Linked DNA regions of Drosophila melanogaster. The protein of the gene in region 1 interacts with the protein of each later gene in a pairwise test. Each region holds a gene or a part of one and is shown on either strand. Other genes may lie near its edges. The genes, in order: bab2, Cpr56F, 7B2 and Argk2.

The links.
Region 2: the proteins of bab2 (region 1) and Cpr56F interact in a two-hybrid assay, tested with the Drosophila melanogaster proteins (one large-scale study listed by BioGRID).
Region 3: the proteins of bab2 (region 1) and 7B2 interact in a two-hybrid assay, tested with the Drosophila melanogaster proteins (one large-scale study listed by BioGRID).
Region 4: the proteins of bab2 (region 1) and Argk2 interact in a two-hybrid assay, tested with the Drosophila melanogaster proteins (one large-scale study listed by BioGRID).

What each region holds. Positions count from the first base shown.
Region 1 is NT_037436.4:1,172,628-1,180,726, reverse strand, and holds the start of bab2 (bric a brac 2), read left to right. Parts: upstream 1-3,450; 5' UTR 3,451-3,746; intron 3,747-6,119; 5' UTR 6,120-6,229; coding exon 6,230-7,969; intron 7,970-8,099. UniProt on the Drosophila melanogaster protein: Probably acts as a transcriptional regulator. Required for the specification of the tarsal segment. Also involved in antenna development.
Region 2 is NT_033778.4:20,286,208-20,295,313, reverse strand, and holds Cpr56F (cuticular protein 56F), read left to right. Parts: upstream 1-3,368; 5' UTR 3,369-3,480; coding exon 3,481-3,486; intron 3,487-4,763; exon of another isoform or gene 4,764-4,881; coding exon of another isoform or gene 4,882-4,990; intron 4,991-5,084; coding exon of another isoform or gene 5,085-5,635; exon of another isoform or gene 5,636-5,769; intron 5,770-5,802; coding exon 5,803-6,450; 3' UTR 6,451-6,943; downstream 6,944-9,106. Other genes in the region: CkIIbeta2 (casein kinase II beta2 subunit), read right to left, coding at 4,882-4,990, 5,085-5,635; CG34199 (uncharacterized protein), read right to left, coding at 7,052-7,618, 7,676-7,687; CG16868 (uncharacterized protein), read left to right, coding at 8,580-8,846, 8,909-9,106.
Region 3 is NT_033777.3:5,373,729-5,380,641, forward strand, and holds 7B2 (7B2), read left to right. Parts: upstream 1-3,051; 5' UTR 3,052-3,203; coding exon 3,204-3,222; intron 3,223-3,270; coding exon 3,271-4,082; 3' UTR 4,083-4,247; downstream 4,248-6,913. Other genes in the region: hd (humpty dumpty), read right to left, coding at 1-447, 505-662, 722-769; CG14667 (uncharacterized protein), read left to right, coding at 1,363-1,488, 1,550-2,196, 2,259-2,372, 2,429-2,555; kkv (krotzkopf verkehrt), read right to left, coding at 4,910-5,092, 5,168-5,269, 5,339-5,704, 5,760-5,960. UniProt on the Drosophila melanogaster protein: Acts as a molecular chaperone for neuroendocrine convertase amon/PC2, preventing its premature activation in the regulated secretory pathway.
Region 4 is NT_037436.4:9,043,750-9,050,713, forward strand, and holds Argk2 (arginine kinase 2), read left to right. Parts: upstream 1-3,689; 5' UTR 3,690-3,746; coding exon 3,747-4,913; 3' UTR 4,914-4,975; downstream 4,976-6,964. Other genes in the region: Doc1 (Dorsocross1), read left to right, coding at 1-112, 596-1,108; Argk1 (arginine kinase 1), read right to left, coding at 5,527-6,610.

The DNA.
Region 1 (8,099 bases):
TCTACTTTAATTTGCTGTTAAGCCTCATTTTCGGTATATAACTTGTGTAGTTTTCCTAGTGTAAAGTGGTTTTATAAATTTTCCTTCGAGTGATTTTTTGCACACAGTATATTCATTCAATTTCAAACATTCTTGATGTTCTTTCTTATTTTTGCTTTCAGTCCCGATTCTTCAAGGCTTCTATTCCCCAGTATGAATTTCATCCTGTTTTCGTCTTGTTTTAAGTGACAGCTTGAAGCTTGAAGAGCCTTGGAGGAGCGTTCAAGAGCAGCTTGGAAAAACTGGCAAAGAATAAGGGGGTTTTGTCCACTTTAATGGATGGCCGCAGAAAGGCGCAAGGCTTTCCAGCCATTTTCCGGCGTCTCCCACATCCTTTTTCAGCTCCTTCTCACACGTTCTGGATCCTGCCGCTCCTGTTGACAGTGGACTACGGTAGGAGCCTCTTTACTTATATTTTCATTTGAAATCAATGCCCTCTTTCAGAGGGTCTATCGATCAATCATGGATGCTTTTGTTAAAATGATTTATGAAACACTTTTATCCCAGAAGATTTGAAGGAGTTGATAGACTCGTCTTCAATGTTGTATGCCATGTAAGGGATATCGATTAGCCATTTTGTTAAGGGTATTTGTGCAGCATCGACAATCTAATTTCGAACTCCGGCCTTCAGTGGCTTTGGCCATTTCCTGTCGCCATTTCTTTGGCAATCGCTTTCTCTTTTGACTGCAAGTGTGTGACGGTATTTTTTTTAAGCACTGGCTGCTGGTTGGCTGCAGATTTGAACTCTTTCGCTTTGCCAGCGGATGTCCTTTAAAGGTCCTTTAGCGTGGTTTCCACACCGTTGCCCCGGCCACTGCCCACACACTTTCTTCACGCTACTCCGATAATTTCACTTTGAATTTCCTCATCGCAGCCTTTCTGGAGAACGGAAGCGCGCTAGTTTCCTTTCCCAGCGGACCGGTTAGTTTTCCGCGTTCTTTTTCCAACAACTGTTGGCTAAGTCTTCGGACTTGTCAAAGCGGAAAGGGCCTTCATTTCCGCCTCGAAAGAGCCGCCGCGTTTCCCTTTTTCCAATTCGCTAGCTGACCAAAAAAATAGTAAAAAAATCGAGAAAGGAGAAATAGGTAGGCAAAGGTGTATGCTAAGCTAAGTTTTTAAAAATACTCCTCTGAAATTGTTTATTATTTAAGACACGATCGCGAATTATGCTTGCTTCTTTTAGTTCGACTTCTCAAACACAGAAATTTGTCGAGATTTTTTATTGAGAAACTTCGAAAATTTTAAATTTTTATTTTTATCCATCATCGAATCGTATTCTAAAACAAATTCTATCTAATTTTTATCAACAATAAAATGAAGTTTTTATTGATCAACACACTGCTACCTACGCAGGTACTAAATTTGATCTGCATAAATTATTTAAGTTTTTATTGCGGCCTTGAGACTCAAAAAATTAGATCGATATTAATAGTTTAAACATATTTGAAAAATCTTTTCATGTTACACATGTAGAAAACTACTACACATAATATGCAATCCTATAAATAAGACTCCTTAGTAATACATTCTTCCTTTTCTCCTTTCTACATAAGCATTGAAACATTCTGGTGACAGGTGACAGTATTAATCAGAGAAAAAGGCGTAGGATTTTCGAGAAAAGGATTCCCCCCTAAGATGTCAAGGCCCCGAGAAAAAAAGGGGAACCCTCAAAGAGTGGGGAGAATCCAAGCACCTTGCCGCCGATTCGCCAAACGAAGGCCGCAAAAAATAATTTGCGAATTGCCACGCGTTTTTTAGCCCATGTGTGCACCCCCGATTTATATATGCAGATATCTATATATAAAAGTATTTGGCCCCCACAGACGCACACACGTATATATTTATATATATATATATAGATATATTTCGAGTGGTCGGGCCAATCGGCGTCGAGCACGAAGTTCGCAGAGGCTCGTGGAGGCGCCCGAATGCCAAAAAGGTCAAAAAGAGAGAGGGCAAATGGAATAAAATATGCAAAATATACAAAATAGCACACACAAATACAGCGCACACGGGCACACGCACACACAGGCAAACGCAAAACAAAGGGGGATTTATTTTAGTTGTTGTTATTGGCTGCGCAAAAAACAATAACAACGGCCTATAGATGCTGCAATAGCAGCAACAACAACTCCTATTAAAAATGCGTTTCCATAGGCGCCGCCTACCGCGTGACGTCACTAGCTGCACTTGCTGCGTCTTTGCCTCCTTTTCTTTCAGCTTTTCCTCGTACTCTTTTCTTTTTTGCTCTTTTCGGTTGCCACCTCCAAGTTTTCGTTTTCGCGGGGCAGCATGGGGAAGAGGAAGCAGAGAAGAGAGTGCAGCCGAAGCTTTTCGTTTGTTTTCGCTCGTCTTTCAGCCGTTTTTTTGTTGTTGCTCTGCTCCCCTTCTTCATGCTGGCTTGTGTGTGCGTGTGTAGGAGCAAGCAGCTTGCTGTCCCACTCGCACTCGCGCCCTCTTACGGCACTTTTAGGGGCGTGGCCAAGTTGTGAGTGTGTTGCTGTCGCCACTTTTTCTCTGCTCTTTTTTGCCATAGTTTCTGTGCCTAAGCAGCAAAAGCAACAACAAGGAGGTTAAGGATGATGCAGAAGAAGAAGAAAGAGGGTTGGCAACTATTTTGAAACACTTTCTTACTGGACATTGGCCAGTTTCTCTTTCTTGCCCCTGCTGTTGCTGTTGTTGTTGCTGCTGCAGCTAGGTTGCAAGTTGCTGTTGCTATTCTCTTCAAGTTGCAGGTGTAGGCTGCAATTTTTTCGCGACCTTAGCATGCTGCTTTGGCGATTTGTTAAGATTTTTGCGATTTATTGGTAAGCATGGCATTTATATAAATAAGAGAACTTATTTCAATAAGTATTCAAACTAATTATAATAAATATGATTCGTTTTTAATTGTAAATGAAGTATGTTGATATAGTAAAAACTACTTTCGCAAATTTATGTGACAACGAAAAAAAAAAGAAACGTTGGGTCTTAGACAATTATATAAAAATCGTAGTGAAATGTATGTTTTTTATGATGAGAAATATGATTCGAATAAAAAACTATTAATCTGTACTAAAATGTATAAAAAAATAACAAAACAATTGCATTCCAGATTAATAAAATATGTTCTCCTCTTATACAATCACGATTTCATTTTAATTATAATTTCTAACATTTCTAAAAATTTCGAAATTTTCAATTTTTTTTCAAGCAAGATCTCTGAAAATTCAAAACAAAGAAAGCAAAGAGCACACTTACTTTCGCTCTTAAACCGCCGCTCTGTCGATTTCCCAATTCGCCGCAAAAACCGGAAAACACCACGCCGGCGCTCTCATTCGCCGCGAGAGAGCGGGCAGCGCAGCTGACGTCGGCAGCGCGGCGTCGAGTTTCATTCAATTTTTTGAAATTCAGTTCGTTTATCTGTGAGATTCAGTTCGTATCTGACTTTCGGCGTGAGTGGAGTGCAGCGTTTGTTTTTACGGCCACTGAAAGCCAGCAACAACAACAATAATACCCACAACAACAACAACAACGACAGAAGCGGCAGCAAAGACAGCAAAGCAAAAGCAACAACAAGTGACGTGCAACAACGACAAGCAGAACAGCATGTGTTGCATGCAGTGAACAAAACAAACAGAACATAAACACAAGTATTCTGTTAATATTTAATAAAACAAGAAAGTGAACTAAAAGTGAACCCATCGAGTGAATACCAGACGAAAAATGTATGTGTGCGTTGATTATTATATTAATTATGGTGCTTTATTTATGACAAATGACTGGGCTGCAATGAAAATCGATTTTATACCTCGACCATGTACTATTCTACATAAGTTATCCAGTGGAAATGCCATCCCCGCCAGACCCCCTCGCACATTTTCCGCGCATTTTCCTTGGCGCTACCAAAGAAATTGTAATTTATTAATTTATAACACAAGCCACCCAGCGAAAAGGTCGTAAAAAGCAATGTTGCTTGGTCGTTTTTGGGCGCCCAGGAAAATTAAGAAGAAAACCCACTCGAAGGAGCAACTTTTCCTACAGCTCCTGCCTTTCCACAGCTCCCGCTTTTCCGAGTGGGTGGCACGCGCCAAAAACAGTTTGTAAACATTTTGCACACAGCGAAAGCCGAGCGAAACACGAGAAAATCCAGACTGTAATTTATTACTTGCTGCATAAATAATAAATAAGCGTTAATAAATAAATACAATATGCAATATATAAATGTGTCCGAGCGCCCGCACACCGCCCCCCCGTTTCTCAACGTGTATTTGTGTTCGTTTTTGTGTGCGGGCGGGCCCACTTTAAGGATACAAAACCTCGAGACTGAATTAAATAAATAAATACAGAAATAATAAATAAATAAAGTGCCCAGCTTGCCTGCTGTTTTATTTTTTTGGCTGCCAACAGCTGCGCTTGCTATAAATAATTAAACGAAAATAATATATTACGAGGAAGCAGGAAAGAAGAGTGTGGAAAGGCAAGAAATCAGGGAGTTTGAAGTATTTAGGATTTCGAGTCAGATACTTGTCAGCAGTTATAATTGTATATGAAGGAAAAAATTAGTTTTTTGCTTCCACATTCACGAAAAACTGAAACTCATTCTAAAACATAATTTTGAATTTATTTAAGGCCAGGCTTTGGTAATAAATAAATGAAAATCTTGAATAATCATAAAATCAGCTTTGATGTGTCGACTTTGGAGATGTGCGAATCTTCTGCATTTGGCAATTTACTTATTTATTTATTTGAGGCCGAGTTTTTCCCAAGAATCATCAAATTTAATGCGAGCAGCCACGATAAAAGCAACAAACATGAATAAATAAGGGGAATAACAAAAGGCGGAGCGCGGCCATAACAATAAACCAAAAGTTGCCAAGAGCAGCAGGAGTAGGAAGAGGAGTAGGACCGATTTTCCTCCGCAGCCCACAGTTCGGGAAACTCTGAGGATTCGGGGTAGCTCATCAGCTCCTCAATTCTCCAGCTGTTCAGCTCTTCAGCTCCCTCGACGATGAGTCCATGGATTCGTATCCGGATCCAGAACAACAATAAAATAAACAAAAATAATAACTGTGGACGGCGCCGAGGAGCTGCGGCCGCAAGATTTAATTGGAATGAAATAATAATAAACATAAAAAGTAGCAAGAAGAAGTATTATAATAACAATAATAATAAATATAATTAAATTTCATGGCGGCAGCAACTTTCCACCCCGACAAAAACGACCCAAGCGAACCGAGCCCAAGTGTGCTGCACAAACACACATAAATTAAAATTATACAAAATATTTAAATAAATATAATTACTTTGGGCCCACTCTCTCCGAGCTCTGCCATAAATAATAATATTTAATTAAATATAAATCTATAGACGGGCGCTGTGCGCATGCAAGTGTATCCAGAGACAACAATACAAAATAAGCAATAATCGCGCGCACACACTTACAAAGCCGCTATATACGCATCCATATATAAATATATATGTATATGCATATATACAATATATATATGTATGTATATAGATATGTGCGTATAAATACAACAATGAGCGGCGGAGACTACGAATAATTGCAGCTCAGTAATATAAATTAAGCCAAATTAAACATAAATAAATGTGTGCTTAGCTTTTAGCTAATAAAGCACATTTCTGGCCTGGGCGTTACAGTGGGTGGGGTTGGGTGGTGGGTGGTGGGTGGCGATTGTTCGGCTGGTGGCTGGCAAATACTAAACATAAATTAATAGAAATTCATGGAAATTTCGACTGGCAGGGAGATGGGGCAAGATTAATAGGCTTATTTAATAGAGTTATGACTAAGAGCACAAATGTGCCCGCTGATTCAGCTTGATGTGAATAAAACACTTGCCACGTTCGTTATCGTTATAGATCCCAAAATATATTCGATTGGCAGGGGGAATAATGTGGCAGACAAGATAAAGCCATATTATAGCCAGCATTCTCTTTGATTGGCAGTTAAATATCTTATTCCGAGTTAATTGAAACAAATTAAATGTATACAAGACTTTCATACTAGCTGTCCATATATTGTATGTTACATATGTCAATCCCGTTCGCACAATCATGTGAGTTTTCCTCTCTTTCAGCTTTGAACTGCTCCCAGGAAAAGTTCTCGTTTCGCCCCCGAAAATGTGTTAGAAATCCCGCAGAAAACCTGCAAGACAACCGATAAGAAGGAAAACTCTATAACAGCACCATGGACATGACCAAACAGATTGTGGACTTTGAAATAAAGTCGGAACTGATCGGCGAAATCGATCAGTTCGAGGCGAGTGACTACACAATGGCTCCACCGGAAGAGCCTAAGATGGTGGAAGAGTCCCCCCAGTTGGGTCATCTAGAGGACCAGAACAGAAAGTACTCACCCGAAAGGGAGGTTGAACCCACTCTGCAGGATCCAAGTGAGGTGGTTGATCAAATGCAAAAAGATACGGAGAGCGTTGGAGAAGTCAAGTCACCCGAGAAGGATGTGGAAACGGAGCTGGTGAAGTCCAAGGCGAGTCCGATGAACGACCAAGCTTTGACTCCCCCACCACGACCTCTGACCTCCAGTGAAGTGGTGGGTCTCCGGGATCCCGAACATACCGAGCTGCGCATGTGCCTGGAGGCCAAGAAGTCGCGCTCCCTACCAGTTTCCCCACAGCCTCAACCAAATCTTAAGCTAGCCGGATCGGCGCTCTTTGAATTCGGTCAGAGATCCTCTCCCGTGGAGACCAAGATCAAAACCAATCCAGAGACAAAACCGCCGAGGCGCAAAATAGTTCCTCCCAGCGGCGAGGGGCAGCAGTTCTGCCTGAGGTGGAACAACTATCAGTCTAACCTGACCAATGTCTTTGACGAACTCCTTCAGAGCGAGTCCTTCGTGGACGTGACCTTGTCCTGCGAAGGCCACTCGATCAAGGCACACAAGATGGTGCTATCCGCCTGCTCACCCTACTTCCAGGCCCTGTTCTACGACAATCCCTGCCAGCACCCCATCATCATCATGCGGGACGTCAGCTGGTCCGACCTGAAGGCCCTGGTGGAGTTCATGTACAAGGGGGAGATCAACGTCTGCCAGGATCAGATAAACCCCCTGCTCAAAGTGGCCGAAACCCTGAAGATCAGGGGTCTGGCGGAGGTCAGTGCGGGCAGGGGCGAGGGAGGCGCCTCCGCACTTCCCATGTCCGCCTTCGACGATGAGGACGAGGAGGAGGAACTGGCCTCGGCCACTGCAATTCTGCAGCAGGACGGTGATGCCGATCCCGATGAGGAGATGAAGGCCAAGAGGCCCAGACTGCTGCCCGAGGGAGTCTTGGACTTGAATCAGCGACAAAGGAAGCGGTCCAGGGATGGCAGCTACGCCACTCCAAGTCCATCCCTTCAGGGCGGAGAGTCCGAGATCTCGGAGAGGGGCTCATCCGGCACTCCGGGACAGAGCCAGAGCCAACCCCTGGCCATGACCACCTCCACCATTGTGCGCAATCCCTTCGCCTCCCCCAATCCTCAGACCTTGGAGGGCAGGAACAGCGCCATGAATGCAGTAGCAAACCAGAGGAAATCACCAGCACCAACAGCGACAGGTCACAGCAATGGGAACAGCGGCGCCGCCATGCACTCCCCACCCGGGGGCGTGGCCGTCCAGTCCGCCCTTCCGCCCCACATGGCCGCCATCGTGCCGCCACCCCCCTCCGCCATGCACCATCATGCCCAGCAACTGGCCGCCCAGCACCAGCTGGCCCACTCGCACGCCATGGCCAGCGCCTTGGCAGCCGCAGCCGCCGGAGCTGGCGCAGCGGGAGCGGGCGGAGCAGGATCTGGCAGTGGATCGGGCGCCAGTGCTCCGACTGGAGGAACAGGAGTGGCGGGAAGTGGAGCCGGCGCGGCGGTGGGATCCCATCACGATGACATGGAGATCAAGCCAGAAATCGCCGAGATGATACGCGAAGAAGAGAGGGTGAGTCAATAACTAAATTTCAAACCATATGTTTTTATCCCAAGAAAATATTAGTTTTAATCTAGAACACCGAGTAATTGTATATACAAACTTTTAATAATTATGAGATCATATCAACACTTTCGTAACA
Region 2 (9,106 bases), on another chromosome or scaffold:
TGAGAACATCGATTTTTTTTTCGGAGTGTATAGGCCGACATCAATCATTATTCCCCTGCCTGCGCCCGAATTTAGCCGCATATGAATGCCCGTGCCACAGCTCGCAGACCAGCTCCTTCTGCCCCACCGTTCTGTTTCAAGTTTAATTGCTTCGCATACGTTTTAATTATGCCGAGTAGTAGTGAGATCCAAAAGCCCAGAGCTGCGAGAGTTGGGCTCCACTGAATGGTGCTGCACTAGCAGCAACTAATTTGGCAATTTGGCCAACTGCACAAGGCGACCTGTGTGTTAGTGTAATTACTTTATGGAGTATGGAGTGCACTGTGAATGCGTCTTTTATGACAGCCATTGAGTTGCAGAGCGATCGAGATCGGGTCCATCGCTCAAATGCCATAGGTGAGTGGAGCCACGGAGGATGAGCGCCAAAGATTCCCAGGTGCGACCTTCGCGTGCCTTCGCCTCTTGACGGAATGTTATCAATAACTGACGACATGATTTTCGAAGTTGTTAATTAAGACGTTAAACGAAAATAGGTGTTTAAACGACAATATTATAGATTTATTTCATGGCCTTTTTTAAGCAGATTTGCTTTCTCAATTTATTAAATAAAAGGTAAGCTTTCTTTATAAATAGGTTCTCGGAAGAATCTGTTGTTGAGACCCCCAATTTCCTTATAGTCATCCGTATCATAATTCATCCACACCCAGCTTACTCACATCCACTTCAGTTCACTTTAGAGCGGTTCCAAAATGTCAAAGTTTGGCAATTTTGTGTGTGAGTCAATCGACTTTTACTCCGGATTCTGGCAAAAGGCAGCGACCTTCGCGTCGGGCGAAAAATGCAGTCGGTGTGCGAAGAAGTCGGAGCCACGGAGATCTCGAATCCAAAATCGCTCTCGAAATATCATCATCTAGAGTGGCACGGCATATTCAAAGTGAGGCGCAATTTACATCAAAAGACGCCTTAATTGATTCTGTCCGTCTTGGGGGGGCATTGCATCAGAAATTATCGTAGTTTAATTTAAATTACACGTTCGCGGCGCTCCACTCGTCAGCATTCTAGGTTACAAAGCAAACATAGATTCGGATCTGCAGATACAGATACGGATACATGTATGTATTTCAAGGTCCGCCCCTCTCGAAGCTCTAGAGCAGCCATCAGAAATTACAAATCGTCATTGTCTTCGACTTGGCGCATCATCACCTGGCTGGGTGCCATTAGCTTCCTCTCCATCTCGATCTCCATCTCCATGTACAACTCCAAGTCCAAAACTCCGTCTAGATGGCCTCTCTGTCTGGCACGTTCAATGTAAATTAGCCGATGCAGGAAATTAAATGATTTTTTAATGTGCTGGAAAAATGATTACAAACGTAAAAAAAAAAACAAGCAGAAGACTGAAGCTGAAAACTGAAAACCGAAAACAGATTTGAAGTCGTTCATGGAGTGCTATTGAAAATGAATTTCAGTTTTGGTTTCCGAGACAAGGAATGCGGCATACGAAGGTTTATTTATTTAATTGTTTTGCTTACATTTCAAGATTCATATTAGCCATTATGAAGTCAAGTCTTAACTGCTCTGCTATAATTTCTGTTTGTTTATTTGAATTTTTCGCATTCGCATATTTGCACACATAACTCCAAATGATCTTGGTAATTACAAAAGCTTGGCTGTATATTCTCTAATTTATTTTTATTGTGGTCTGTGGCAAGGTCGAGTATTACTTGCAGAAAATCACTTGGGGGAATACGCAGCGAGGAAGCAATTCCATCCCACCCCATCCCTTCAATCCCTTCAATACCTCATTAATTTCCAGCTCATTTGGGGCGTGGCTTCGCACGGCCTTTAAATTTACAACTCATAAACTTGGCATTATCGAATGTGAAAGTCAGCTCGTGCCAAATCGCAAAATAAGCAGGGTCCGTTATAACAAAATGATAAAAATTTTAATTTGCTACGCATTCGACCAATGAGCCAAAAGACAATTGACCAAAGAAATATTTGCAGATCGTGATGGATGCTACGCCCACTGTTTAAATGAACATGGAATATGGCAATAAAAATATTGAATTACTTTTCCCTATTGTCAAGTATTGTGTTCGAGTATTTTTAAAGAGTTCAAGTTTCCTTTGTTATGCAATCGACTTTTTAATGGGATAAATAAGTATCCAAAACTATTGAGCATACACATTTCAATACGTTTTGCAGGAAATGGACAAATAGAAAAAAAAATTATGTTATTTTTTTTAAATATGTGTTTATTTTAAAACTTATTTCTCTCTACAAATTATTTGTTTATAAAGTAAATATATAAATAAATTGATCTCATTTAAATTGGAGCAATGTTTCACCCATAAATGAATGTTGAAGAGATCTTTAGGTAATTTTGATTCGCAAAGCAACTACAAGCCGTTACTAATGCTCAGTTTAATAACAATCAACATTTTCGACACCAGAGCGTATCTTTCCCAGCAAGGAAGATAACGTATCTTAAAACTCTTTTTCCCTCGCTGTGCTCACAGCTCAATTGCAGCTTATCCGACTTGAATCCATGTCAACGCCAATCCAAACGGACACATTTGTGAAGTCGGGGGCATAATCCAGCTCATTAGTTGTGCTGAAAAACAAAACCGAGCAAAACCCAGCGAAAACTCCCACGCACTAAGGGGAAACAATTTGCAGCAGCATTGCCTGCAGCAAGTTCGTTGCCTGAGTCTTTTGTTTCTGCTTCGCCTTTCGAGGCGGCCGCCGCTGAAGCTGCCGCACGACTGAAGCTGAAGCCTCCGATGCGAGATGAAGATGCGTGGAGCAGCTGCCTCCGCTCACTTGGCTTTTGGACGCTACCGTCGACGTCGCTGCCCGCTGCCTGCTGCATGACTAATTCCATTACAAATAAGTGTTTCTGCTATTACACGAGCGGCAACAAATGTTTATGGCCTGCAGCCGCAGGAGCGCGGTACTCCCTCGTCTCATTTGTTTGAATGTTTGGCACTCATCTTCGCTCATTTGCCGAACCCGACCGCAGATACGAAGTCAGCATCGTCAAAATGTTTGGCGCTTTAATTTCCAAAGTAACTAGTTTACTATAACAAATCCACCTCAAGCGATTTCCCTCTTTTCTCGGCAGCACCACCGAGAGCGATTTGCTCTTCCTCAGCTCCGTGTGCTTTGCATTATTTTGTAATGTTTTTCAAGTGCTCGTTCGGCACTGTGGCACTCATTTTTTTCTCGACTAACCGAAAATTGAAATAACGAACTAAGCTGAACAAAAAACACACACATTTTGGCGCGCAATTTTTTGAAGCCGACGTCGACGCCGCCGCGTTAGCTGCTGCTCATTTCAAATATAAATACTGGCCTACGAAATTGTTTCAGTATCACAATCAAGTCAACCATCTTCGCAAGAAGAACACAGCCAACAGAGCAAAGTTAACAAAAACCGTTTTCGTGTGTGCCAAAATCCCAAACAAGTGACAACACAAAATGAAGGTATATAGCCGAATAGAACTTTCGAGTCAAGTGCCAAGTGGTGTGCTGTGTGAAAAAAAAAAGTCCTCACAAAAGGATATGGGCAGCCAAAACGAAATACAATGCCTCATTCGGCATTCGGGAAACGATATGACTAAAGGATATAAAACTTGAATAGCTATAAAGATCATTCAATATAGGTCCTTTATTAGATACAGTTTCGACCTTTTGTTAAATTTTCAAAGGATATTGAAGTTTGCTGTAGCTAACATACAAACAACGTTGGGTTACAAAATCTTAGAATGATCAAATAAACATCACAATATTTGCCCATATCTTTTTCTGCATTGCAAAGGTGCTAAAATATGTTCGAATTTTGTATTCATTTTTCTGTATCCAATCAATAGCCCTCATTTAAAATCGTTTTTGGCAATAGATCGATCAATCAATTAAACAACTCATCAAACTAATGAAGCTTTCATTGTCTCACATAGCACTTAATCAGCTAATCGGAAGGAAAAGACATGAAATATTAATATTTGAGCCATATTAAAAGTCAAGTTCAGCTGGGTGATTAATCAAGCGGAGATCCGCATAATAAATTTCATAAGTTGCCATCATCATCGCAGTTAAGATTACCATCAATTTGTTTAGGATAGCTACTGTTTTTTATGGTAGGTTGCGGAATTAGAACACCGATATCATTCGCCTGGGAAACAATTGCAACCAGCGATCCCAGTTCATTTCTAGGGTGTGGGTAACAAACAGAAGCAACAACAGCTGCCGCTGCTTGGGGTCATTTTGCAATGAATAAATTAGAGAAACTTTAAGTGGCGGAAGAAGAACTACTGGACATGCCCAAGTAAGGCAGTCTGGAGATGACCAGGCGGCGATAAAAAAAAAATACAGACAAAAGCGCAGCCAAAAAGCATAGCATTTTAACGCCAATGAAGCATGAAAGTCATTGACGGCCCTGTGCCTAAACACTCGGCCAGAAGATCTTTTGCACAAGATTCGGAAATAAGTTGTGTAAGAGTGAGCCGAAGTGGTTCTCCCACAGGTTGTCCGCGCCACACGGCGAATACTTAAGATTCAGACGCATTGCGCAAGATCACGAGATTAGCCCTTCACTTGCAGCCCAGCTAAATCCAATCCAATCCGATGGGAGCTTCACCTGGGACCCAATTACTACAGATTTGCATATGCCTCAGCTAAATGCTGTAAAGATGGGAAAGACAAAGCCAATTCTGGGCCTGCTCGCAGGCCATCAAATCCAAACAAAAGATTGTCAAGCGGGTCACAGCCTGAGCAGTTATTGTTATGAGAGTTTAATGAGCTGGCAGCCAGCCGGGCGAACAGTGCCCACTTATTCGAGAAGTACGCGACAGTTGCTTATGAGAAATTTTAGCTTTAGGATCAAATGTGGGATGGGCTATCGATTTCTCCTACTGGCGTCATTGTCACATCTTTTTGGATCTCAGCGGCAGTACGGTAGGCCGTGGGGTGGATTTTAAAGCCATAAAGCCTGGGAAAACATAGTTACATTAGTTATACATTATTAGTAACTACCTTAAAAACATAGGGAAATAGAAGGAAACACAGGAAACGGAAGATCTAACCTGGGCACAAACTTCTGCTTTGCCCGCTTGGGCCTAGCATCCGGTTTCTCCATAAAGAACATATGAGGGAATCCAGTGCCAAAGAAGGCTCCATCCAGATTCGAATGTCTCGACGCCTTGGGAATGTACACATCATTGCACTTGGGGCAATAGATGCGTACCATATCCTCGCCAGGATTATCACTCAAACCAATGGGCAGCACCGGCTGGCTATGGCAGAATGCACGTGGACATGTGCCGAATTCGCCCTTGTTGTACTTGTCCAACATCAGTTCGATGCCCCTGTTGGTTAGGATAAAGCGAGCATGGATCAAGCCATACAGTTTCTCTGCACTAGCCTCCAGTTCTGGTTCAGCGGGGTCTTCCGAAGCTGAACCCGGATTAAGATCCAGGATCACCTCCAAGGCACATTTGTAGTTCTTAACGTTCGAATCAAGAAAGTTAAGGTTAAACTTGTCCTGGATATATTCCTCATCCACCTCGCAAAAGAATTCGTTGCCACGCTGCTTGCAAAACCAATGAATCCAGGAAGATTCGTCCGAATCGGTCATAGCTGCTTCTTTTAAGCTTTAATTTAATCAGTCAAAATCACGAGAGCTTAACAATAGGACTTATTTAATTTCGAATGACAGCTGTCAGGGACGGAGTGTTCAATCAAGGGTTGTCAACTCAAAACGAAAACTGTAATGTAAATGCAACCCTGAATTTTCATTCCCAGGCTTTTACATCCATTGCCCTGCTCGTGTGCCTGGCTGCCTGGACCCATGCGGAACCACCAGTTCCCCAGAACCAGTACCTGCCCCCCAATCAGTCGCCTCAGGCGCCGTCCAACAACTACCTGCCGCCCACGCAGGGCTACCAGTCGCCGTCGAGCAACTACTTGCCACCCCAGCGGGCCGGTGGCAATGGAGGAGCGCCCAGCAACAGCTATGGCGCCCCCATCGCTCCTCCCCAGGGTCAATATGGTGCTCCAGCGCTGACTGGTGCCATCTTCAAGGGCGGAAACGGAAACGGAAACGGCGGCTATGGCGGCGGTAATGGCAACGGCAACGGCTACGGACAACGGGATGAGGAGCAGTATGGACCGGCCAAGTACGAGTTCAAGTACGACGTACAGGACTACGAGTCGGGCAATGACTTCGGCCACATGGAGTCCCGCGATGGTGATCTTGCTGTGGGCCGCTACTACGTCCTGCTGCCCGATGGACGCAAACAGATTGTTGAGTACGAGGCCGACCAGAATGGATACCGCCCAACCATTCGGTACGAGCAGGTCGGCAATGGCAACGGAAACGGCAATGGCAATGGTCGCAACGGTGGCGGTTATGATAGCAACGCGCAGCAGGGCAAATTCAACGGCTACTAAGATGGGGAAGTGAGGATACCCGATTTAGGTCGACCCCGCAACTATACTCGTCTACTTCATGGGATCGCTGGCCGAGTATTAAACGCACATCCAGCCAGTGGGCCAGCGATCGCAGTCAGTCTATCCATATAACCCTATTCCCATCTCTGTGCATACCCTTAGTGGGACGCCCGCCATTTTGCCATAGACAGGCGCGTTCCTTTCCGTTTCCGTTTCACTGCTGTTCGTTATCCTGTTTTCCGTCTCTACACCTGGAACTCCTTGCCGTTTTGTTTTGTTTAAGCGCCTTCATTTTGTGTTAGTCTACGCACACACTCCAACACACCATTCACCCACAACATGACCATTACGCATTCATACATACATGCATAAGGATTGTATTTAGTTTTTAAACGAAAATGGAAATTCGAAAGTGAAACGAACTTATGAGATTTTTGTGTATATTTAATAATTATTAAATGAATAAAGAAGCATTTTTGTATAAAACAAAGTCAAAAAGAAAAACCAAACTGTTTTTATAATTAACAAGATAATTCATTCTGAGAATTGAATACATTGCACAACTCTATTTTACATATTCAAATAGCTATATCCAAATTGCCTACTTCAGGACCCGCTCCAGTTGTCCCTGTCTGTTGTATCGATACACAGGATCCTTGAGTTGCCCCACAGTGGAGTAAGTCAACTGAGCCGTAAAATCATCTGCATCTGCATCTGCGTTTTGCTGGGAGCTGAAAGAAACTCTTTGTAGTTTATTGTCCTGCGAAATGACGAAGTAACGTCCCTCTCTGATTTTGGGCTGCTGATTGTCTACGATATTTTTTGCAGTAACTGGCTCCTCATCATCAGGATAAATGATTTTAAATTTCGGATCTGCCGGACCGTACTTGTTGGACGGTCGTGAGGTGGGCAAAATCTCTTCCTCGGGTATATCCAGTTGATTTGGAGGCAAATAATTTGGCTGGGGCTTTTCCACTGGATCGAACTGGTCCACTCGTGCCTTTGTGATTTCTACTCCCTGACTTGATCGGATAGCAGGCACATACTCGTTGGGTAAGTTGAATGGAATCTGCGGATGCCAACCAGTTGGTGCATAAGGTGCTATACGTCCACCGGTAAAATCCACTTCAGCTTGTACAATGGCCACAAATGGCAGCAGTAGAAGCAACTTTAGGAATGCCAAAAAGATTTACGTAAAAATGTTTATTAAATAGCCACATCATACCTTTGTCACCATTTTAATGAACGGCTCGATTGAAACTGCGGTGCAATATTTGGGATTTGCTCATTTTTATATTAAACAATTGGAACCATTGCAATATTTATCATGCCGGACACGCACCTTGTTCGTCTGACACCAATTGGACTGCATCTGTTCCATCTTCGGACTACATAGTCACGTATCCAGCCGACAAAAATAAAAAAGAATCAAATGCACACAACCTTGACAACGGATGAGCGAATAATTGGCAAAGGCTCAACTTTGGTTTTGCTTTTAGATGCACATAAAAAGTGAAAGTGTTATAAGAGCATTAATTTGCAAAATAATTTATAGAAAATCTAACTAAGAATACATTTCAATGTAATTATTATTTATTTAAGTGCGTATGCATTTCAAGAATATTGAATAAATGCAACTTATAAAACGCTTAGCAATTTACAATTTTCGAAAATACGTTATTTCTAGGGTAACCACATTTTAACTGTAAAGTCGTATGCAGCCACACTGCTGTGTCGTGCATTTTTGTATCTTCCGCATGCTGCCCTATAATCTACGACATACGGTCACACTGCGCATGTGGAACTTTAAGAAAATCTGCAAAACATTGACAAAATTATTAAATTTAATAGCTTAATCGGACGAATAAGAGTGTATTTATGTTGATTAGTTGTTGTCTCTGAGCCAGTGGGCAATGTACACGTGCTTACTATGCCTAAAACCGAGGAATCAGCGAGATTTATGTGACGAAATTCCGTAAACAAATCAGCGTGCAGCTCGAGAAGAACCTGGTAATACAGAATTCCTTAAGAGGAAACCACTCAAGCTAACATTTCATTGTCTTCCAGATATGCGGTAAATTCAATAGTATGCCCCAGTGGCCACGGAGTCCGCCGGAACCACAAAAACCATGTGGCCCAACAGCAACCTAAACGCCGTGCTGCTCATCCTGGCAGTGCTGGCGTGCCCAACTAGCAGCCAACATGTTCCTCTGGCCATGGCCAATTCAACTAGCAACCAAGTGCCTACGGATCCTGGCTTCATGCCGCTGCAGCAGTCGCCGGGAAGCGTCTTTTTCGTGCACCACAACCAGCAGAATGCCATGCAGCTGCGACATAGCATGGAGGGCAAGCTGCGGAATATTCGTAATACGGAGCTGAGGGTGGCCAAGATACAGGTGGGCTATCAATACTGCACAAGCTATTAAACTCCATTTTAATGCCCACAATCCCCTTCCAGGAAATCTTTGACTCCATGCACTTCAGCAGCGCCAAAGGAGCGTCAAACACTCGTCAAGCTTCGAGCAACGATAGCAACGTGGTCAATCCCCAGTTGCAGCGGGACTTGCAATTGTTTAGTGAGCGTCTGAGCAAGAAAATCCAGAAAGCCACTTACGTGGTGTTGGAACTGCGCGAACTGCTTCGCTACAACCTGACC
Region 3 (6,913 bases), on another chromosome or scaffold:
CAGGGCAGGTGCGGGTGCTGCCAGTAGTAATTGCATTGGTTGAACCGCGTTGCGTCCGAGATATCCAGCGTGCTCTCCGTTCGCTGCGGGTCCATGCAGCGCACGAAGCTGGTGAGTCCGCTGGCCAGCTGCGAGGTCTTCAGTTGGATGGCAGGCAGTTCCGTGGGACAGAAGAAACGGGCTCGCGTCTTCAGGGACCAGTCCACAGGTAGGTGGGCGGTGTGCTTCTGCCGGGCGGCCAACTCCGCATCGTCCTCGTCCTCAGCGTTGATTTGGGGATGCTGGAAGAGCTTGGCAAAGGCCTGCGGGTCGTACTTCTGGAGCACGAATTTGGCGGGCGCCGGGCGCGTGGGCGTTTCCCGCACAAAGCAGGAGGAGGCAGTGACCACTGGTTCGAGGTCCGCCAGTTGCGGATCAACGCGCAGTTTCTTGGCATCAGCTGTGGATCTGAGGCAGGGAGTCAGTAATTGGATTTTGGGGAGAGCGAGAGAGAGGGAAACTCACTTCGCAAACGGATTTTTTCGCTTCTGGGCGAGCTTAGCCTCCAGTAGCTTGCTTTTATCCGTCTCATCCACTTGGTGTCTTGGCCGCCTATTGTTGTTGTTGCTCACGCGGGCTGCCAATTTGTTCTTCTTCTGCTTGAGCCGCTGCAGTTTGATGAACTGGAAAACGAAACAACAACATTAGTGGCGGGCAGGTGCTCCTCCGAGTCCTTACCCACGTCATCTGGGCGCGTCCATTTGGAAGCCACACTCGCTTCGGTGGACATGTTCAATGTCTTGGTTCGCGCACAGGACCTTCACGGATTATTTAAGTACTTTGTGAACTGCAAATATCTTCAAAACGTTTGCAAATATCACAAAAAATTATGGCGCGCAACTAGGGGTGTGAAATCTTTCGATTGATTAGCTCGTTATTCGCTATTTTCGCCCATGTTCAATTCCCAAAAATATCGTTAGTCGGCAAATAAAACGAATCTCACAATTTAACTAATTATTTATTATAATAGATGGAGTAGTTTACAAAACGAAACTAACTTAAATTGTATATCACTGGCTGCAGGGGCTATGTTGGTTAACAATGGCATTGTTGGGCATCGAATTTGATTTTTTAATTTTAATGGTTCTTTTTGGATTTACAAGCTTCTAACCTAAATTAAACAAGCGCATGTTGTATCGTTTTAACTATTAATAAAATCAAATGAATAAAAAATCTTTTTGCGCTATAAAAATGTATCTGACTATCGGATTCACCGATAACAAATCGATTAAGCACTGTCGTTTTTCCAACTGTTTTATGATCTGGTAACACTTTCCGTCGCTGCGTTTTATGCTAAAAGTAAACACATTAACTTGATAAACAATGAACCTCGCCGACGTTTGCCGTATTTGCGCCAACAAAATTATGGGCCACCAGCGAGATCGCAACATATTCATTCACATGCGGGGAAAATATTTGGGTCAACTGAAGCTAATCACGGGAGTGGAGGTAGGTCGTTATGTCAGCTTCCGACCGCGCCAACAATTGTTATTACCTGGAATTTGTTCAGCTGACAAGAAACCAGGGGCTGCCGGAGATTGTTTGCGAGCGCTGCTTCTCCGAGCTGGACCTGGCCACCAAGTTCCGCGAGCGGTGCATCTTCTCGCAAAAGTACCTGCTGGATATCATAAAGAAGACCAGTGATCAAAGCACTGTTCACGTTGAGCTTAGTTCCGAGCCGCTGGACGAGCAACTGATCGATGCGGATCAATTGGAGACGCACTACGATGACGACCAGTACGTTTGTTATCAAGGCACGAAAGAGGAACACCAAGACCTAGAGGAAATCGAGCTGGATGACGACCCCTCTGCCGCTGTGATAGCGGCAGCAGAGGCGGCAGCAGAAGCGGCGCAGCAGGAGGATCTACAGGAGCAGGAAATGGAGCGGGCCGCCAAGAGGCGCAGTAACTTCTTTATCTGCGACGAGTGTGGAACCCTGTTCCACGATGCGTTCCTGTACACCGAGCATTTAAATGGGCACCAGAACCGGCGGGATATGAACCAGTTCTTCCCCTGCCCTGAGTGCCCACAGACTTTTAACAAGAAGGCGCTTCTCAAGCAGCATCGCACCCAGGTTCATTTAATTAACCGCAGGTTCCAGTGCACCATCTGCCACGAGGCTTTCGCGTCTCTGGGCGCTAAGTTGCGGCACGACAAGTAAGGAGGCTGGGAATTGAATGCTAGCGCAGCACTATATGCAACTTCCAATTTCATTTTAGAGCCCATAAGAACGAACGACCTTATCCATGCCTAGAATGCGGAATGATCTTCAGCAGCGTTTCCGAATTGCAGAACCACTTTTCGACACACTCAAAGCAAATCCGAAAGTTCAGGTAAGCTTGTCAGCTTGCGCAGTCATATGTCTTAATATCGTATTTTTTGCGTTTAGGTGTGAGCCTTGCAACATGGATTTTATAACTCGCCGAGGCTTGGTGGCCCATACAAAAACAGCACCGCATAAGCGCCTTGCCAAATATATGCAGGATGAATTCGATTTCATCGAATTGGCAACCTAACCCTCAATTATTACCACCTTCTTTCTAAGTAAATGCTAAGGTCAAAAAAATAAATCATAATTGAGTAGTTCAGTTTACTACTTCGCTACCATAATATTCGACAATGGAGTATCGGTTCAATGTTATTTTTTTATAAGTGTATTTTTAATTTATTGAAAATAAAATTCCTTCAGTTTTACTTTCAAGTCATTTTTTATAGTTCATACTTTTAAATTAAGGAGGGAATGGAAATTTATAGCGTATTACCGTGTAACATAAACCTCTAGTCATACAATTCAAGAAAATAAAGTTTTCTTAGCGACTAAGTTTTCTTATTTTCTTCCAGCATTTTATACTAATAAAGCTTAAAGAGGCCTGAAAACCTCAGCTCCAGCAGTTTGGCGCTAATCTAATTCTCGGCCCCCCACAGGACTGCTTCAACATAAAAGAGCTTTCGAGTACGGCGCATGCGTCCTTTCAGCTGTGGCTGCCATAAGGCAGCTTCGATTGGATCTGCGTATATTTCGCAAATTCAACTGGTAGCCGCCGCACGAAGCACAGAGCCCTACGTCACGTTAGTATATACACGGAATCGGAGCAGCTGCCGCCGAAAAATCAATACCTTACCAAACTTCGACGTGGACGGTTGAAACCGCTTGGAATCGCAATATGTTGTTCCGTTCGCAAAGTAAGTCTGCTGAAGTAATATTTATAGGTGGGTGAGGTAAGAGAATAGCCCATGTTTTTCCAGGTGTGTACATGATGGTGGCGATGCTCGTGGTCGCCTTGAGTGGCTACCAGGTGCAGTCCTATAGCGCCAAGGATATTCTTGCCGATGTCTTGATGACGGATCTGCTGAATCGCATGGACAAAGACATGCAGGTGGGCTATTACGACGTGGGCAACGAGGCAGCCGCTGGCTCCAAGGACAACGTGGACCTGGTCTCCCGGTCGGAGTACGCGAGGCTGTGTGACGGCGGAAGCGACTGCATCCTGCAATCGGGCTCGGCATCGGGAGCTGCCTCCCATCCTTCGCTGCGGGATGACGAGTTTCTGCAGCACAGTTCGCTGTGGGGTCACCAGTTCATCTCCGGCGGAATGGGAGAGGGTCCCAACAGGTATCCCACTATAGTGAAGAACGACGCCGGCCTGCCTGCCTACTGCAACCCTCCTAATCCCTGCCCTGAGGGCTACGACATGGAGACGCAAGGCGGCAGCTGCATTGTCGACTTCGAAAACACGGCCATCTTCAGCCGGGAGTTCCAGGCCGCTCAGGACTGTACCTGCGACAACGAGCATATGTTCGACTGCTCGGAACAGGATAGTGCTGATGTGGGCGGCGACAAGGGTGACCTGAACTCCGCCGTGGAGCAGTACATCATGCAGATGGGCCAGGAGAACAGCCTGAACAACGTTAACAGCCTGGCTAAGAAGGCCGGATATCCTGTGATGCCCGATCCTCGGCTGGACGACGCGGTCATAAACCCGTTCCTCCAGGGCGACCGCTTGCCCATAGCCGCCAAGAAGGGCAACCTTTTATTCCACTAAGGTAACTCGCTGATAACGCGAGCATACACGACGTTTCCATATGGGTGTCTAATACTATTATCTATCATAGCTGGTTATCAATGTTGTCCCGCAAGCGATGTCTAGTAATGTTTCTACCCTTTCCCGAAAATAAAGTTATTCGTATAGTACCAGGGCTCTAAGCCGAAAATATGCGGGTATTGGTCTAAACTTGGGGTAGGGTCTCCACTACCGAAGGTGGGTTCGGATGTAGCTTATCCTTGGGATGACCCAAGTTTGATGAGAGTGAGAAATATCGAATATCTGTTTGATGCTTCTATTTATTGTTTTAAAAAGTTTTACAATCCATCAAATCATCAATGATTATTCATTTAAAAAGAACTATCCTCGATATGTCGTCGAGTGTACAAATAGGCCACTGCGGTTCAGCTCCACGTTGAGTATTTTGTGTCAGCATGCACTGGCCGCGTGTTTCGGATGATCCACGCGGGTATTGACTTAAAGATAACCTAACAAATGATAGTATAGTACATCGCATGAATGTTGCTGCCACAGTGGGCGATCAGCCACCCAATTATTGGCACACATCGACACTGGCAGTGTGATTAGCTAAGCATAATGTTCGTTCTGTTGCCATGAAGCCTTATGAACGACCTGATCCTTCTGAGCCAGAGTGTCCTGGCTCTCACTCGCGTCCCTATACATACTATACAACACAATCCTTCCTTCTGACTACAATTCTAGGTATTGGCTTAGTCTTAAGTTTAGGCAGTTGATGGAAAGAGGCGGAATTCGTTAACAAGTTACCTAGGTCTAACTTAGCTCTACGTCTAGGATGGGCGGGTCCTTCACAGGCGACCTGTGCCATTACCGCCGCCGCCGTTGGTGTTCTGGCCCCAGGAGACCTGGTGGTGCGGGTGGGGATGGGGATTCCTGGTGGTCAGCCGCAGGGAGTTGCCGTCGCCGTCCTCGTCGATCACATGCTCGTAACCCTGGTTGATAGTGCCGCCCCCATTCGAGCCGTAAATCTGCTGCAAGTGTAAGCGGACGTAACAAAATATTTCCATGAGAATACACATATTTTATGATTATAAATTGGCCTTTACCTCGGCACCACCACCGTTCACATTGAATACATCCTTGATGCTGATGCCTGCATTCGAGACACGTCCGCTTCGCTGATTCGGCAGAGCTCCATTGTTGTTAATCTACATATATGCATTAAAGAAGTTATGATCCTGTATCTAAAATTTCTCCAAAAACTTTTCTAATCTCACCGGTGCTCCAGTTGTGATTCCGTACTCGTTCTTTGCTCCCAGAGTTTGCATCGCGGACTTCCGCCTTTCGGCCATCACCGAATTCTTACGCACCTCCAGTGCCCGGATGGTCTCCGCCCGCATTGTCAGGCGGCGGGTGAGAATGGGCGTGGCCGGATTGTTCTCCGCATCGGCGGTGAGTTTCAGGAAGCGCTTCTTGAACGCCACATCCAGGGTGCCGATCTGGCGACGTGGCTGTCGCGCCTTCTCCAGATTTTGAATGGTCTTCCGCCTGGCTATGCGATCTGGCCCGGAACCGGAGTCATTGTCGTAGTCGCCATCGATTCCCTGCAGCCTCTGCAAGTTCTTGACGATCTCCACAGCATGCTAAATAATATCATAATTTTATTATTTGTATTAATGTCAATTACGGGCCACCTACCTTATCTATTAGTTGGTCCTGTGTCAGATCCTCAGACTTCTTCTTGCAGAAGTTGAGTTCAGTCGAGGCCAGGATGTGCGAAATGGTTCCAAATCGATGGAACAGCATGGCCGTGAACTGGATTATCAAAATAAGAGCAAAGAAGAATACGAACACCAATCCGATGGGCTCCAGCTGAAGGTACTCCTTGGAGATGTGCACCTATGGGGGATGAGTAATACGATTAGCGGGGCCCTGAAGGAGTTGATTTTGGGTTAGTGACACTGAACGATTTGATTGGTTGACGGTTTGGGCTTGGATAATGGCTGATCTTGATACCAGTAGTCGGTGATTGTGGCATGTTGAGGTTGAGGTTGTGGTGTGATACCATTTGGGAGGTAGGTTATATGTCGGGTTTGGTTTTATTTATATATTTATTGAACACATTGATGTCTGAGGAACAATGAACATGCTGGCCGCACCTCTGGCCCTTGTGTACAGAACTGTGATTACTCAGAGGGGGATACTTAAGTATGTTGCTTACAGTTTACCGTGTTGTCATTTTAGGGCTAACTGTTAGAACCGCGAAAATGCCAAGATGTTGTTCTGTTGTTTTTACATGATGTATTCGTATGATAAACAGCCTGAACCATTAGGATGGGGCTAACAAGGTAAACGGGAGTACCGAGAACAAAGAGCATCATTAGCTGTTTGGTGATGTGACATGTTGGACATGTTGGGTAGTAAACATTTAGAGAAAGTGAAACTGAGGAGGACAGGCAGGAAGTTAGAGGACCCGTCCGGAGGTTTTAGGGTAAGACAAATACACTATGACAGCACAGTTGTGGGTAATACTATATAACATCGAGAAAAGCTTGTGTATAAACCTCGGATGTCTCTTCGATATAGGTAATGTTGGTTTTGACGCCCAACGGCCAAATAATGTGTAGCTTGTCCTTGTTCAGTTGCAACAAGAAGACAATCAGCACGAACAGGGCGTTGGCCATGAAAAACGCAAAGACCGACTTGTTCCGCAGCTCAATCAGGTCGGAGGCAATGCGGGCCTTCATTTCGATTCAGTTTGGATTCAGTTCGATTTCAGATTCAGATCGTGGCGCCAAAGAAAGAATTATACCGAAAAAAGAGTAGTGTTAGTTTGGCGTGAAAGCAGCAAT
Region 4 (6,964 bases), 7.9 Mb from region 1:
CCAGCCACGCCTGCACATCATCCGCAGCAGCGAGCTCACCCAACTTCCATGGGCTCCTCAGCAGGCGTTCGTTTTCCCGGAGACGGAGTTCGTAGCTGTCACAGCCTATCAGGTGGGTTAAAGACAACATCCTTTCCGTCCTCCATTGAGGACATGTCTGACAGGACAAAGACTCTGCGGGGGTCGTCGCCTAATTGAGGCATTTTCAAATTTGTCGCCTAGCCAGCCACTTGAGTTTGATCCTAACGAGGATCACAGTGGAACTTTTCAAGTGCCCTCCCAGCCGACGGCTACTTACTGACGCCTCGTAGTTTAAATTTCGACCAGACAAAAACAATAGAGATCGTTTTTCATACTATTTAAATTAGATTTAAAACTACGCGTTTTTTTACATATTTATTTAATCTGCAAATCTTTTTTATAAGGCCGTAAATTTATTTATTGTTCCTTTTTACGATCTAATTGAAAATTCAAGTGTTAAAAGTAATACATTTAGAGCTAATTCGTTTTAAGAATTCATTGTTGTATAAAAACTGATAGTAATTAATCATTTATGTGCTTAAATTAATTTATAAATTTGTTCTCATGCTTGCAGAACGATCGCATCACCAAATTGAAGATCGATAACAATCCGTTCGCTAAGGGTTTCCGCGAGTCGGGTCAATCCCGCTGCAAAAGGAAGCTGAACAGCAGCGGAAACTCGACGCTGGAGTCGGAGGATGATGGCTCCAGTGTGAGCAGCTGCGATTCTCCGCAGGCGAAGCGCCAGCGCCAGGATTTTGAGCAGGACTCAACGGGTAGTGTTTCGCCAGCTTACTATGGAGCAACTCATCCAGTTGCCAATCCTATGTCGCCGTATCTCCGCCATCACTTGAGCTATGGACCCAGTGGAGCTGCCGGATTGCCGCCCAGCATTGCAGCTGCCTATTTTGGTGGAGTTCCTCCGCAGATTCTGCCAATGCCACCAGCCACATATGCGCCAACTGTCGCGCCTGTTAGTCCTGTGGCCTCGCAACCCGTTGGCTCCAGCACACCCACAACATCACCAAGGCCTTCAACCTCAACGAAAAGAAATAGCTTCAGCATTTCAGCCATTTTGGCCTATTGAAAGAAATATTTGGTAAACATACTTAAGTTGGAGTCATCTTCTGTTGTGATTAGTGAGAAACGTGTGCATATACTTTGTAAGCTAATCTATGCTACATATAAGATCGTTTAAGAACCAAGCTGCAATCATATACATTGTTAATTCGTTTTAAGAGTCTTTGGTCAAAATAAACAAATCAGACATCGAATCCGTAGAAAATGCAAAACTATTTGCGGGGGGGGGGGGAGCAACGGTAACCTTCAGCGTTTCCGTTTTTACAGGTTTTTGGCCATATCGCAGTGCCTGGGCCAAAAGCAGTTATGCGACCGCTTTGGCGGGCCTAAGACAAATTAATGCTCTCCATTATGGTGACCAGTCGGTTCTCGAGTCACACGTATCTGAAAAACATCCAACTCCGGTAGTAGTTAAAGCAATTCTCCAAAGATAAGGCGTCCATTATGAGCAGCGATTTGACGGCTTTCAGGCTGTTTGGTCTTTGCCGACTCCCAGCTCCCCTGCGATTCCATCCGCATCCCTGGGACACAGAGATGACGCAGAGGTGGGTGCACGGAGAAAAAAAAGTATCACACATTTCAATTCAACTAAGTAAGTTTTGGCTTATGGTATTGCTAATAGAAATGGTTTTTAAAGTAAATTTAAAGAAAGAAAAATTCAACATTCATCTGATCATTTCAAAATCGAAGCACTTTTCTTGCAGTGCACTTGCTGCTGTTGCCGTCTTGTGAAATTTTCGTTTTATCGCACCTTTTATGGCCATTGGCCAGGCCAAAACGAAGTGGGAGCTGGCCAAGAAACCGAAACAGAAACCGATGCCGAGTCGGTTGGAGAGACTTTGGTGTGGTCACTCCTTGTGTGCATTATCGTGTCAAATGCGACAAATCTGTCTGTGGCCCGGCGGCTGCCTTTCAGCTTGCATAATTGAGCTGATAACTCGGCGCTCCGTGGATGTGTGCGGTCCACTTTTGAGCGTTTCCTAAACGGTGGCGCCAAACATTTCGTGTTTAATATTTTTAATTAAGTTTTTAAGTGCATCCAGAAGGAGATGGGACCACAGAGAATTTATCTAGCCAGTCGTTGCGGATAGTTCAAAGGGGCAACGAATCGATTTGGCTTCCATTCATAGAAATCGATGCATATATTATGCATAATGTAAGCCAAATCAGCGCGAAATAATTCACCAGCCACACGAAGCCGCGTTTCAAGCGGCTTTTTGACTAATTTGGGCTTAGTTTTGTATTAGCGCTTTGTGTTTCTCCTCGTCTTCGATTGGATTTGTTGGTGCATAAATTTACATTTGAAATGCTGAAACAATTAAATTATGGGATTTGCACGTTTTCACCCAAAAACAAAAGGGGCCAAAACAACATCAAATCACATTCGTTGTCGGCGTCTGTGCCTCAGAAGTGTTTTTTTTTTTTAATGTTAGGTGTTTTTTTGCTGACTCGCTGCTGGCTTCTTTTTGAAAAAACGGTGGCAAAAAGCGTCAAAATTCGTAGATTATGAGATAAAAATGGAAATCGAAGTCGCTCCGGTATTGCATTTCTAATTTGCGCTTGTTTTAATATACTTAATGAATTTTTATGTGTAGGTTGGTCCAATACTCATGCCCAAATCCAAATCCGGTTTTCGTTCGAAGCTGTTGATAATGATAATGAGGATAACGATGCTTTATTGAGGAGGTGTTGCCGTTCGGATCTGAATTTTATTTGCGCCACATGTTAGCATATTGTTGTTGCCGCTGCCGCTTTTGTTGTTCTTTATTGCTAATTATAATATATTTGATTTGGTATTTAAGCTTTAAGCTATAAAAATGTTCGCATTCTCTGTTTTACGAGCCAACAGCTTGCAAATATTCAATTAAATTGTGCGAACGAGAACAGGTCGAGGTGGATTGTGAAAACTAATCATAATTAACACACCTTTTTCTATAATGTTCTAAGTATTTTATTGAAATAAAAAAAGTCAAAAGGAAATAAAACATAGTTTTTGGTTTTGATGGCTTCTACACCCGTATTAAACATATTATATAATTACATTAGTAATATATATCTTAGAAAGTCTACATTTAAACAGAAGAACTGAGTGTTTTAAAACCAGTATTTGAGCTACCAATTTTCGATGGGTTTTGTATACATTTCTTAAGCATTTCCCTGTATTTTACATATTTTACGCATTATTTTACACATAATATTTTACATTTGCCATGTATTTTACAATGGTTTGGAGCCGTGCTATATGAGTACACTATCAAACAAAATTGTTTCTTAAATGCATTATTGTATTTTTAAAAACCATTAAGTGAATATCATATAACGGTTCTTTAAAAAAGTATCAATGAAAATGATTTCTTTACTTTAGCGCAAAACCATAGTTGTGAAAACAATTTTTAAATCCATGAGGAACTCAAGTATATCAAAATTTACTTTATACTTTATTTATTTCAAATTTACTTGTACATAGATTGAGTCTTTGCTTAGCAATCTCCTTTCCGATATCTATTAAAGTGGAGTTTTCAACCGTCTGTTTTTTGTTCGTACTAAATGGCGTTTTACTAGATTTATTCTAGCCATTTGGTTTAATGTCACTTTCTAACTTAGGGTCAGCCTGGCCGGTGTCATTCCAAATTCAACACCTAAAAATGCTGTTACATTTAAAACTCCGGCTTGAACTTCAATTACTAGGCCGCTGTGCGCAGCTAGTAATCAATCGCCATGCCAGCAAAGGAAATGTGGACAAGGAGGTGATGGAGCAAATGGAGAAGGGCTACAAGAAGTTGGCCGAGTCGAAATCCAAGTCCCTGCTGAAGAAGCATCTCACCAAGGAGATCTTCGAGAAGCTAAAGACGAAGACTACACCCTCGTTCAACTCCACACTGCTGCACTGCATCAGTTCGGGAATGTGCAATCATGACTCCGGCGTTGGGCTCTACGCCCCCGATCCGGAGGCATATAAGGTGTTTGCCGATCTCTTTGATCCCGTCATCGAGGAATACCATAAGTGCTTCAAGAAGACGGACAAACAGCCGGCGACTGCTTTCGGCAAAGGCGCGGATTTTGAAAACCTAGATCCCGATGGCCATTTCATCGTATCCACGCGTGTCCGTTGCGGAAGAGCCGTCAAAGGATACCCCTTCAATCCCTGCTTAACGGAGGCTGACTACATGGAGCTGGAGAGTAAGATTTGTGGGGCAGTGACTAGCCTCACCGGAGAGTACAAGGGTAAATACATGCCATTGACTGGAATGGATAAATGCATACAGGAGCAGCTCATAGAGGATCACTATCTGTTCAAGGAGGGCGATCGATTTCTGGCTTCCGCTGGAGCCTCTCGATATTGGCCAACGGGAAGGGGCATCTTTCTGAATAGCGCCAAGAACTTTCTGGTCTGGTGCAACGAGGAGGACCACATACGCATCATCTCGATGGAGAAGGGTGGCGACCTGGGCAAGGTCTACGATCGCATGGTTGGCGGCGTGGAGGCTCTCGGCAAGCAGCTGCAATTCAACAGGGATGAACGACTTGGCTTTTTAACCTTCTGTCCCACCAATCTGGGCACTTCTATTCGCGCCTCGGTGCACATCAAGCTGCCCAATCTAATGTGTGATCCCGACGAGATGAAAAAGCTGGCCGACAAGTATCGTCTACAAATCAGAGGAACCTCGGGCGAGCACTCAGAGGCCAAGGGCGGAGTGCACGATATATCCAACCAACGCAGGATGGGACTAACCGAATACGAAATCATCAAAGAGATGCACGATGGAATCAAGGGTCTCATAGAAGCCGAGTGTAAGGCAAAGTCAGCTTAGTTGTAAAGCGTGAAGTGTACAAAAGGTTAAAGGCCGTGATGAACTCTAAATAAATAATAAACTAAATATTTGTATACCCTATATGTCCTCTATATCCATTGAATACAAAACATTCATTGAGTTTTAAGTTTTTTTTTTATTTTTTTTTTAATAATTTTAATTCTTTTATAAACTTAAGACTTAAATAAAAGTATTTAAAGTTCCTTTTTTTGTTTTTGCTTGACACAGATGTCAAAATGTTTTACATTGTTTGGTTGTAATTAAGCAAATGTTTTTGTCAAATAGTTATCCGTTGTTGCTGCTGCTGCTGTAGGTGTTGATGGTGTTGCAAGATGGGATCCCTGCCTGCGCCCGCGACCCTCAAAGTATACGAAAATGCCGAAGGTTGCCGGACTGGGACAGCAGCTCCACACCATAGCTACAAACTAGACATATTTGCAGTTCGAACCGCCCAAAAGCGACAAGGCGGACGAGCCGAAGATTTCTAAGTGTTGCTGTTGTTGTTCTTGATTGTTGCGTATGCCCCGAACTGGTGGCACCCGTGGATAGATGTTAACTCCGGAGGCGATGCACCTCCAGCCGGGGGGACGATGCTCGGCGGTTGGCGGGCAATTTACAGGCTCTTCTCGAGCTTGATCAGCTCGGTGATGCCATCGTACATCTCCTTGACGGCCTCGAACTCGGTCAGACCCATGCGACGCTTGTTGGAGATGTCGTAGACACCACCCTCAGCCTCGGTGTGCTCACCGCGGGTTCCGCGCACCTGCAGGTTGTACTTGGCGGCAACCTCCTCCAGCTTGGCCTTGTTGGATGCCAGCTTGGGCACCTTGATGTGCACGGAGGCACGGATGGTGGTGCCCAGGTTGGTGGGGCAGAAGGTCAGGAAACCGAGACGGTCGTCGTGGCTGAATGGCACACGCTTCTCGATTTCGTTGACGGCGGTCACCAGACGCTTGTAGATCTGGCCCAGATCACCACCCTGCTGCATGGAGATGATGCGGAGATGGTCCTCCTCGTTGCACCAGACCAGGAAGGTCTTGGCATCGTTGTGGTAGATGCCACGGCCGCTGGGCCAGAAGCGGCAGGCGTTGGCGGCCTGCAGGAAACGATCGCCCTCCTTGAACAGGAAGTGGTCGTCGATCAGCTGCTGCTGGACGGCCTTCTCCATGCCAGTCAGGGGGTAGAACTTGCCCTTCAGCTCACCTTCCAGACCGGACAGGGTGCTGCTGACCTTGCTTTCCATCTCCTTGTACTGGGCCTCGGTCAAGCAGGGGTTGAAGGGGTATCCCTGCATGGAGCGACCGCAACGCACGCGAGTGGAGATCACGTACTCGTTGGTGGGGTCAACGTTGCCGAAGGTGGACACATCGCCAAAGTTGGAGGCCGGGTGCTTGTCGGTCTTCTTGAAGCCACCATGGTAGTCCTCGATGATGGGATCGAACAGGTCGGCGAACACTGTGTAAGCCTCGGCATCGGGAGCGTAGATGCCGACGCCGGAATCGTGGTTCTCCAGGCCAGACTGGATCACATCCAGCAGGGTCGACTTGAAGGTGGGCGTGACCTTGTTCTTCAGGTTGTCGAAGACCTCCTTGGTCAGGTACTTCTTCAACAGCGACTTGGAGTCGGAGGCAGCCAACTTGGCATAACCCTCCTCCAGTTTAGCGAGAACAGCGGCATCAACCATGGTGTCTTGTTTGCTGCAAAAATACGTAGAGAGAAGGAGAGAATGGGGTATTGACCATTAGTAAAAGGGCGTGGCTGGGGCGACAGTACAACATTTTATTGCTACAAAGGACTCGCCTATCTTCATTTTGTGGCGCCCAAAAGTCGGCAACATGTTTTCTTGTGTTTCTGTTTTCCTCAATTCCTGCCTGTTTGCCCCGCAATTAGTTTCGGGTTATGGCCATGTGCTCATACTCGACTTGGGTCTGTGGCACGCGACTGCCACATATACCCACGCTCCCTTTCCCCTTCAGCTCGCTACACCCAGAAAGCAGTACCCAGAACCGAACACCCATCACCCTTGATCCCACAACGCCCCTTTTTTAGTG